2 linked regions of the Neurospora crassa OR74A genome follow. The protein of the gene in region 1 interacts with the protein of each later gene in a biochemical or structural test. Links are inferred from orthologs where the notes say so. Each region holds a gene or a part of one and is shown on either strand. Other genes may lie near its edges.

Region 1 (3,752 bases):
TTCCTTCCAAGACCAAGGTCATGGTCGCCAACCTTCCCTACGACCTGACCGAGGAGAAGGTGAGTTTTTGTGCCGACCTATGCCATGACTGGAGACATGCTAACTCTTTCCACAGCTTAAGGAACTTTTCGCTGCTTACCAGCCTTCCTCCGCGAAGATTGCTCTTCGCCCCATCCCTCGCTTCATGATTAAGAAGCTTCAGGCCCGGGGTGAGCCCCGCAAGGGCCGTGGCTTCGGCTTCGTTACCCTCGCCTCGGAGGAGCTCCAGCAGAAGGCTGTCGCTGAGATGAACGGCAAGGAGATCGAGGGCCGCGAGATCGCTGTCAAGGTCGCCATCGATAGCCCCGACAAGACCGACGAGGAGGCCAACGAACCCGAGGGCGAGGCCCAGGCCCCCACCAACGGCACTACCGAGCAGGCTGGCGCTGCTGTCACTGCCTCTGCTTAAACACTCCATTTGATGACGAGATGAGTGTGCGCACAAGTTAATAAAGATTTCGGTCACAGACACTACTTTAATCTCGACCGACACATGTCTTATGTTTTACTGGGCGCATGCATTTTTACCCTCACGATTTTGGCACGGAACGAATGATTTTCTTTTTATGGCGGGATCTGCAAGTGGGTATGAAAGCGGGAAGATTGGGCGGTGGGATAATGTGATCATGTCTGGCGTCACGGGTTATGGGGGTTTGCAAAGGCCTCAAATCGCTGGTAGACTTCAGGCATCGTTATCCTGCGGCTCTTTGCAGGCAACAAAAATCTAATATTTTTCATGACTTGTCTTCTTCATTTATGTGTTATGGATCATCTTTTATCTCAGGGTCGCTTACATTCATCTAGTGTTTTCAAACTCTCATGTTTGCAGGAGATGGTCAGTCAAATCGGTCTAGGAATAGGAAAATAAGCATGATCGGGCCAAGAAGTCATTGATATGTCATGTTTAATTAATAGGAACGCCAACGGGTAAAGTGGTTTGTGATAGATACGTGTCCAGTCATCCTCAACATGGGAATCACCTAATTGTGAGGCGTAGAAGTAGTGTTGGAGGGAACTAATGGATCCACTGCCCGTGCCTTGCGTGCCTTGATGGGTGGTTGTGACAAAGTTGGGGACGGACAGTTGCAGATGTTCCTGCAGGCCAGAGAGGGGCAGCTCCCCGTTAACAAGCGGTCCCCTGAAACGCCCCTGATCTTTATTCGCAGTGCGTGACGAATGATGAGAAAAGGCCAGGTCTGGACCTTTGCATAAAACATGGTACCTACCTAGGTAGATATGAATGGTCGACATAACGGAAGGTAGGATCCTGAAGGTTGGATGGACGGACGAGCTGGCTTGTGTACACGCACCATGCACTGTGGCCTCGATGAATACTCTTATGGCTTGTGAATTTCAATTCGGTTAGGTTGTTGCTTGAATCACGTAACTGATCATATCTTAGCAAATCTAAAATGCAGTCCCAAACTCAAGTTGTAGTAATTCGTCGGGTAGATGGAACGTGACCTAATGATCAGCATGCCTCGATCTTCCAACACTTCGGGTCGGGTTTCCGTCCTGGCTGGTCGCTCCAGTGCCACTAAAACGAAGGAAGGTAGCCGTCCGAGGTAAACCAACTGCTGAAGCGTAGGGCAGGGGGTGCCTGCAATAGCGCGGGCGACTTCATCATTCAAGTCGCCAATTGTCTGTCTGACTGATTGTCCACCAGACAACCCCTACTGTAATCCGAAACATCACGCGACGCAACATAGCGCAAGGAATCCAAAGACGGCGAACTTCTTCTTCCAATTTGCTTCGACGAGACTCTGCTCTCAAGTAGGCCGTCCCAGCGAGGAATCACGTAACCGGTCGGTTCGCGCACAATTGCACGTACAAGTTGCCCACCATGGCTACCAAAGGGATGTGGGAGATAGACCCGGAGACGAAGTCCAAGGTATGTGACCGACCAACCCGCCCAAGGCGTCCAACCCGTTCAATCGCTGTCTTTGTGAGATTAGCTGCACGATCCAGAGGGGGAAAAGCGATGTGGCGGCGCAAAGGGCCAACTGGAACCTTCCAAGCTGACTTGTGACCCTTGTAGCTCGCTGCGATGCAGAAGGAGAACAACAACAACATCTGCTGCGACTGCGGTGCCCCAAGCCCGCAATGGTGTTCACCAAAGTTCGGCATCTTTATCTGCCTCTCGTGTGCGGGCGTTCATCGCGGCCTGGGCGTGCACATCTCCTTCGTGCGCTCGGTTTCCATGGACGCCTTCAAGCAGGCCGAAATTGAGCGCATGCGGCTCGGCGGCAATGACACCTGGCGCACCTTTTTCGAGAACCATTCCGACACCAAGTTGCGCGGAATCAGCTGGGACGATGCGACGATTGCGGAGCGGTACAGCGGCGATGTTGGCGAAGAATACAAGGAGAGGCTGAGTGCCAAGGTTGAGGGGAGGGAGTACGTGCCTGGGGAGAAGAAGCCACTGGCCCAGCAGCAGGAAACAAGTCAGAGTCCAAGCAGCGTGGCTGGTGGGGTGCCATTGAGCGGCACGAGCAGTAGGACGGCCAGCCCTAAGCCGGGAACGACGATCAAGGTGGACGACAAGTACTTTGCTAAACTGGGTGCTGCCAACGCCAGCAGACCGGACAATCTGCCGCCTAGCCAGGGAGGAAAGTATCAGGGCTTTGGGAACACAGTGTCGTCGCAGCCAAAGAATGATGGCGGCGCAAGCTTGCCGGGTCTCGATGAGTTGCAAAAGGATCCCGTGGCGGCGCTGAGTAAAGGGTTCGGATGGTTTACCAAGACAGTGACCCAGACGGCGAAGACGGTTAATGAGGGTTATATCCAGCCTACAGCTAAGCAGGTATGTATCCTTGGTCTCCGCTCAACAAACCATCCCTCTGTCGGACATTGGCCCAGGACACATCTACTTGGATCACTTCGAGATACATGTTTGCTAATTTGGACTTCTTCCGCCCAATATAGATAGCCGAATCAGAGCTCGCTGCAAAAGCCCGTGTTGCGGCAGCGCAAGCCGCCGTTTCAGCACAGACTGTAGCACAGGCTGGCGCCAAAACCGCGACAGAGAGTTTCAACCGGTTTGTCGAGGGAGGACCTTCCAACTCCGCTGGTGGTGGCTATAGGTCAGTTCCCTCTGGCGGTGGTGGCAGCAACTTTGACGAGAGCAAGAGGTCGTTTTGGGATGACTTCTCTAGCGCGGCCGACCAGAGAAAGCCAGCCGGTAGCTCAATCGGGACAGCAGTTATGGGCAAGGGTGGAAGCAGCGGTAGCTCCACTGCTCCTCCCCCAGCAGCTTCCAAGAAGGACGAGTGGGATGACTGGTAGATGGCTTGTTGACCCGTAGCGTCATTGGATGAATAGTGAGGTGGAATAGTGGTAATGGAATCATTTACAGCCTATGATTTTTGTCTTTTACTGTATTGTCATTTGGGCTGATCAAGGAGGTCAACGGTGTTGTGTTCAAGGTGAGACCGACTTGGGGTGTTGAGATGCAATGGTCAGGGTCAGGGTAGGGTAGGTAAACTAATCGATATTTTCGAATCGACTCCGGCGTCGGAGGATCCAGTGTACGGCGAGGTCCCGTCGCTGAGACCAGAGAGGTGTCTACAGAAATTGGTGAGGTCAAGTGATGGCTCATTGCTCTAAGCAGTATTAGACTTGATAACGATTTCTTATTTTCGTCGAGTCACTGAACCAAGAATAAGACCAAGTGCATTGGCAGTAAGCTGACAAGGTTATCATTCACATGTTGA
Region 2 (3,283 bases), on another chromosome or scaffold:
TCGAACGCCGCCTCGCATGAGAGCATATAGTGAAAGTAGTTGGGGCAGCTGCCAGATGGTGAAGACGGAGTTACTGAGATAAACAGCATAGGTCAAACGAAGCCTAAGAAACTAGTGAAACCACCTTCAAATCGCTTCCCTATGTATTGGGCAGAATCTCTTCCCGGCTGAATCACGAATATCCGAATTCCCTCCAAATGTTTCGATTGACATAAGAGAAGATAAGCGGGAGGAAGAAGACAAAGGGTAAGAAAGAAAAGGAAAAAAAAAAAAAAAAATTGCAAACCTCTATGGGCATTGAGGAAAAGTTAGATCCGGTCTGATCTCGTAGATAAGTTGGTCATCGCATGTTGAAAAGTGGCATGAAGGACGACCACCGGAAAGTACACTCCCGCGTTGTAAGAGTTTATAATTTGCAATGAGGAAATTCTAGACTGTGAGCACGATGGCTGAGCATCACCTCACTGGTGTGTACTGTTGGCTCAATTTGGACTTGGCTTTGAACCTTTGCCTGAAGCACTATTCTGGGCTCACTCGGAATTCGAGCCGCAAATACCCAGGTCAACTGATGACCAAGCTTAGAGTCACCGCGCAAGAGAATATAAGTAATATCGGAGTCGGGAATATGTCGTGTGAAACGGGATATTGCCCAACGCGCAGACATGTTGTAAGAGTCCGAATTTCGTCTTTTTTGTTGTGTGCTTGAAGTCTCAATACCCGACGATCCGACGTTGAATAGTCGCCGGAGCCAGTCCATTAATTAAAAGAAGGCTATAGAAAGCTCGTAAGCTGATATATGTAGGCAGAAATCTCTGAACCCTTATGTCGTTTTGTTTGTCATCAAGGCATCCGCTGGTACCAACCACCACGGGACATAACCCCCAAGAACGCCGAGAAACCCGGCCTGCCGCCGCCATACGTATCCGATATACCCAAGTCATGTGCCGGTATGTAATTCCGTCGGTACGACCTATTCCCGAATGTTGATGTTGTTGTCATTTGTTGTTGTACAGATTCTCCTCGTCATCTCAAAGCCGGTGGTGATGTTTGCGCATTCCCTGCTTTGGCCACTACTCCTCTTTTACGGTTTGCTGCTCACTTGGTTAGCACATAGACAGAATAACGGGCCGGGAGCAGCAAAAGAAGAGGTTAAACATACCACCAACCAATCCATGCCCTCTGTGATGCCTGTCCCTTCCACTGCACTGCAGGCCATGATGCTCCAGTTCCTGTCCCTTAGCTCGCCCAGGCGGAGAGCCTGAGAGATATCTGCCGCCCCCTTTGCACCTGGCTGATCTTGCTTGTTGGCAAACACCAAAAGGGCAGCGTCCTTCAGCTCTTCCTCATTCAACATAGCGGCCAACTCATCCGCCGCGGTTTGCAATCGCTCCATATCGGTCGAGTCAACAACGAATATTACCGCCGCCGTGTTCGCATAGTAGCACCTCCAGTACGGGCGGATGCTAGTCTGACCACCCAGATCCCACACATTGAAGTTGAGATTCTTGTATGTGACTGATTCGACGTTGAAACCGATTGTTGGTATCGTGGTTACTACCTCGCCAATCTACAACATGTTGTCAGCTCTCCGAACTGTGCGCGCTTCCGTTCGTCAGCTTTTCAACAGGTGGGCCTACCTTGAGCCTGTATAGTAGTGTTGTCTTTCCGGCATTATCGAGGCCCAATATCAGAATGCGGATCTCCTTCTTTGTCCAAAAGAGGTTGGACAGGCTAGACAGCCATGACATGCTCTGACCCATCTTTGCGTGTTGGCTAGTGCCCCGGAAGACTGAGAGCGCGTTGAGTTCGTAGGAGTGTGATGATTGAGGCAGTTGATAATTAGACGGATGAGGAGAGGATTTGACCAGGCAAGGCGATTCCTTGATACAGATCGGGCTCTAACGTGTCGGATCGGGCCGTACTAGTCGATGGAAATGATGACGGCGAGTAGTGTATTATCGAGGAGGCAGCGAACGGAAGCGCGGTCAGCCCAGCTGGTATCTTTCGGATGCTCCCGTGCGCACGGTTGAAGACAGGATAAGCGAGGGTTTGTTGCGCCGTGGTATTGCGAAAAAAAAAAGTGTTTTGGGTTAGGTTGCTTCAAGATGCTCCTCTCGTTGTCATAGAGAGGCCGTCGCTCAATGCCGCCAAAGAGCTCCTTTGATCGTGCCGGCACTCAGGGGTCCCGGGAGGCAAGGCCGCCCCAAGCGCCCAGCCCAACTGCAAACATCCCGGCAATCGATTGGCAGCGAGACGGCACCGTGGAAACCTCCGATAGCCGCTTCTCGTGGCTCGTGCGCCTCCCTTCTGGACCCAAATGGACCTTCTGTCCGGTCAGAGAGCGGACTCCAAGAGTGAATGAGCCTGTGCCACAAGTACGAGCCACAGACACACACGTGACTCAGCCACATGCGCACTTTCGGGCCCTAGTGTTCTGCTTGGTTTTTGAAAGCCCACACCAAATATTCTAACCCACCTCATCGACACCAGCCAAATCGACCGGTAACTCGACAACACCGTCAAAATGCCGGTACGTAACGTCCCACCATGTTGAGCATAGAGAATGCTCGGAATCGCTCTGCTGTCGAATTTTTGGCCGTCCTGCTATGCCAGAAACGGCAGCGACACGGAATTCCCAAAATGATGATCGCAGAGCGATTGATTGAAGCATGGAGGAGGGGTCCATGACTTCACCTGCTCGAACGACGGCAAGACAAGTTATGCTGACGAGGTGCATCGCGAAAACAGAGCCACAAGACCTTCCGTGTCAAGCAGAAGCTTGCTAAGGCCCAGAAGCAGAACAGGCCTATCCCCCAGTGGATTCGCCTCCGCACTGGCAACACCATCCGGTACATATCACCATAAGCGCCCATTGCTGTCGCGTTCAGCCAGAGGAGAGGGAGAGGGATGGATAGTGACGGGGATGGTGGTGAGGGAAGCTGGAAAACAAACCAGCTGCCTCGGCTGTACCCGGCGCAACATGCCCTCTCGCGAGCTTTCTGCACTCAAGAACGCATGGCGACTGCTTCATCATGACGCTGGATGCTAACAAGAGACAACTAGCTACAACGCCAAGCGTCGCCACTGGCGCAAGACCCGTCTCGGCCTCTAAATGCTCTCACGATTCTTCCATATTCCACCCCCAACGATGGTCTTCTTTTCCTGGTTGCTCTGATCCACCTCCATTTTTCGAAAACTGGAGCTTGGGAATGCGACCTATGACGGCAACCTTCTTCTCTCGGCCTTTGTCCTACGAAATTAAACCGATAACGAAATCTTCCCG

Evidence for each region.
Region 2: the proteins of NCU07734 (region 1) and NCU08989 form a complex in vitro, tested with the Saccharomyces cerevisiae proteins (2 studies listed by BioGRID, with this or other methods). The link is inferred for Neurospora crassa OR74A from reciprocal best matches to the Saccharomyces cerevisiae genes GCS1 and ARL1.

What each region holds. Positions count from the first base shown.
Region 1 is NC_026504.1:2,054,799-2,058,550, forward strand, and holds NCU07734 (zinc finger protein gcs1), read left to right. Parts: upstream 1-1,496; 5' UTR 1,497-1,882; coding exon 1,883-1,930; intron 1,931-2,077; coding exon 2,078-2,842; intron 2,843-2,964; coding exon 2,965-3,324; 3' UTR 3,325-3,722; downstream 3,723-3,752. Other genes in the region: NCU07735 (Grp1p), read left to right, coding at 1-59, 116-448. UniProt on the Saccharomyces cerevisiae protein: GTPase-activating protein (GAP) for ARF1 and ARF2. Involved in intracellular vesicular transport. Required for transport from the trans-Golgi network.
Region 2 is NC_026503.1:4,145,150-4,148,432, forward strand, and holds NCU08989 (ADP-ribosylation factor 1), read right to left. Parts: upstream 2,300-3,283; 5' UTR 1,761-2,299; coding exon 1,638-1,760; intron 1,568-1,637; coding exon 1,160-1,567; intron 1,092-1,159; coding exon 1,071-1,091; 3' UTR 560-1,070; downstream 1-559. Other genes in the region: NCU08990 (60S ribosomal protein L39), read left to right, coding at 2,525-2,530, 2,749-2,849, 3,064-3,112. UniProt on the Saccharomyces cerevisiae protein: Recruits golgins such as IMH1 to the Golgi. Can bind and hydrolyze GTP. May be involved in trafficking events within the endosomal system.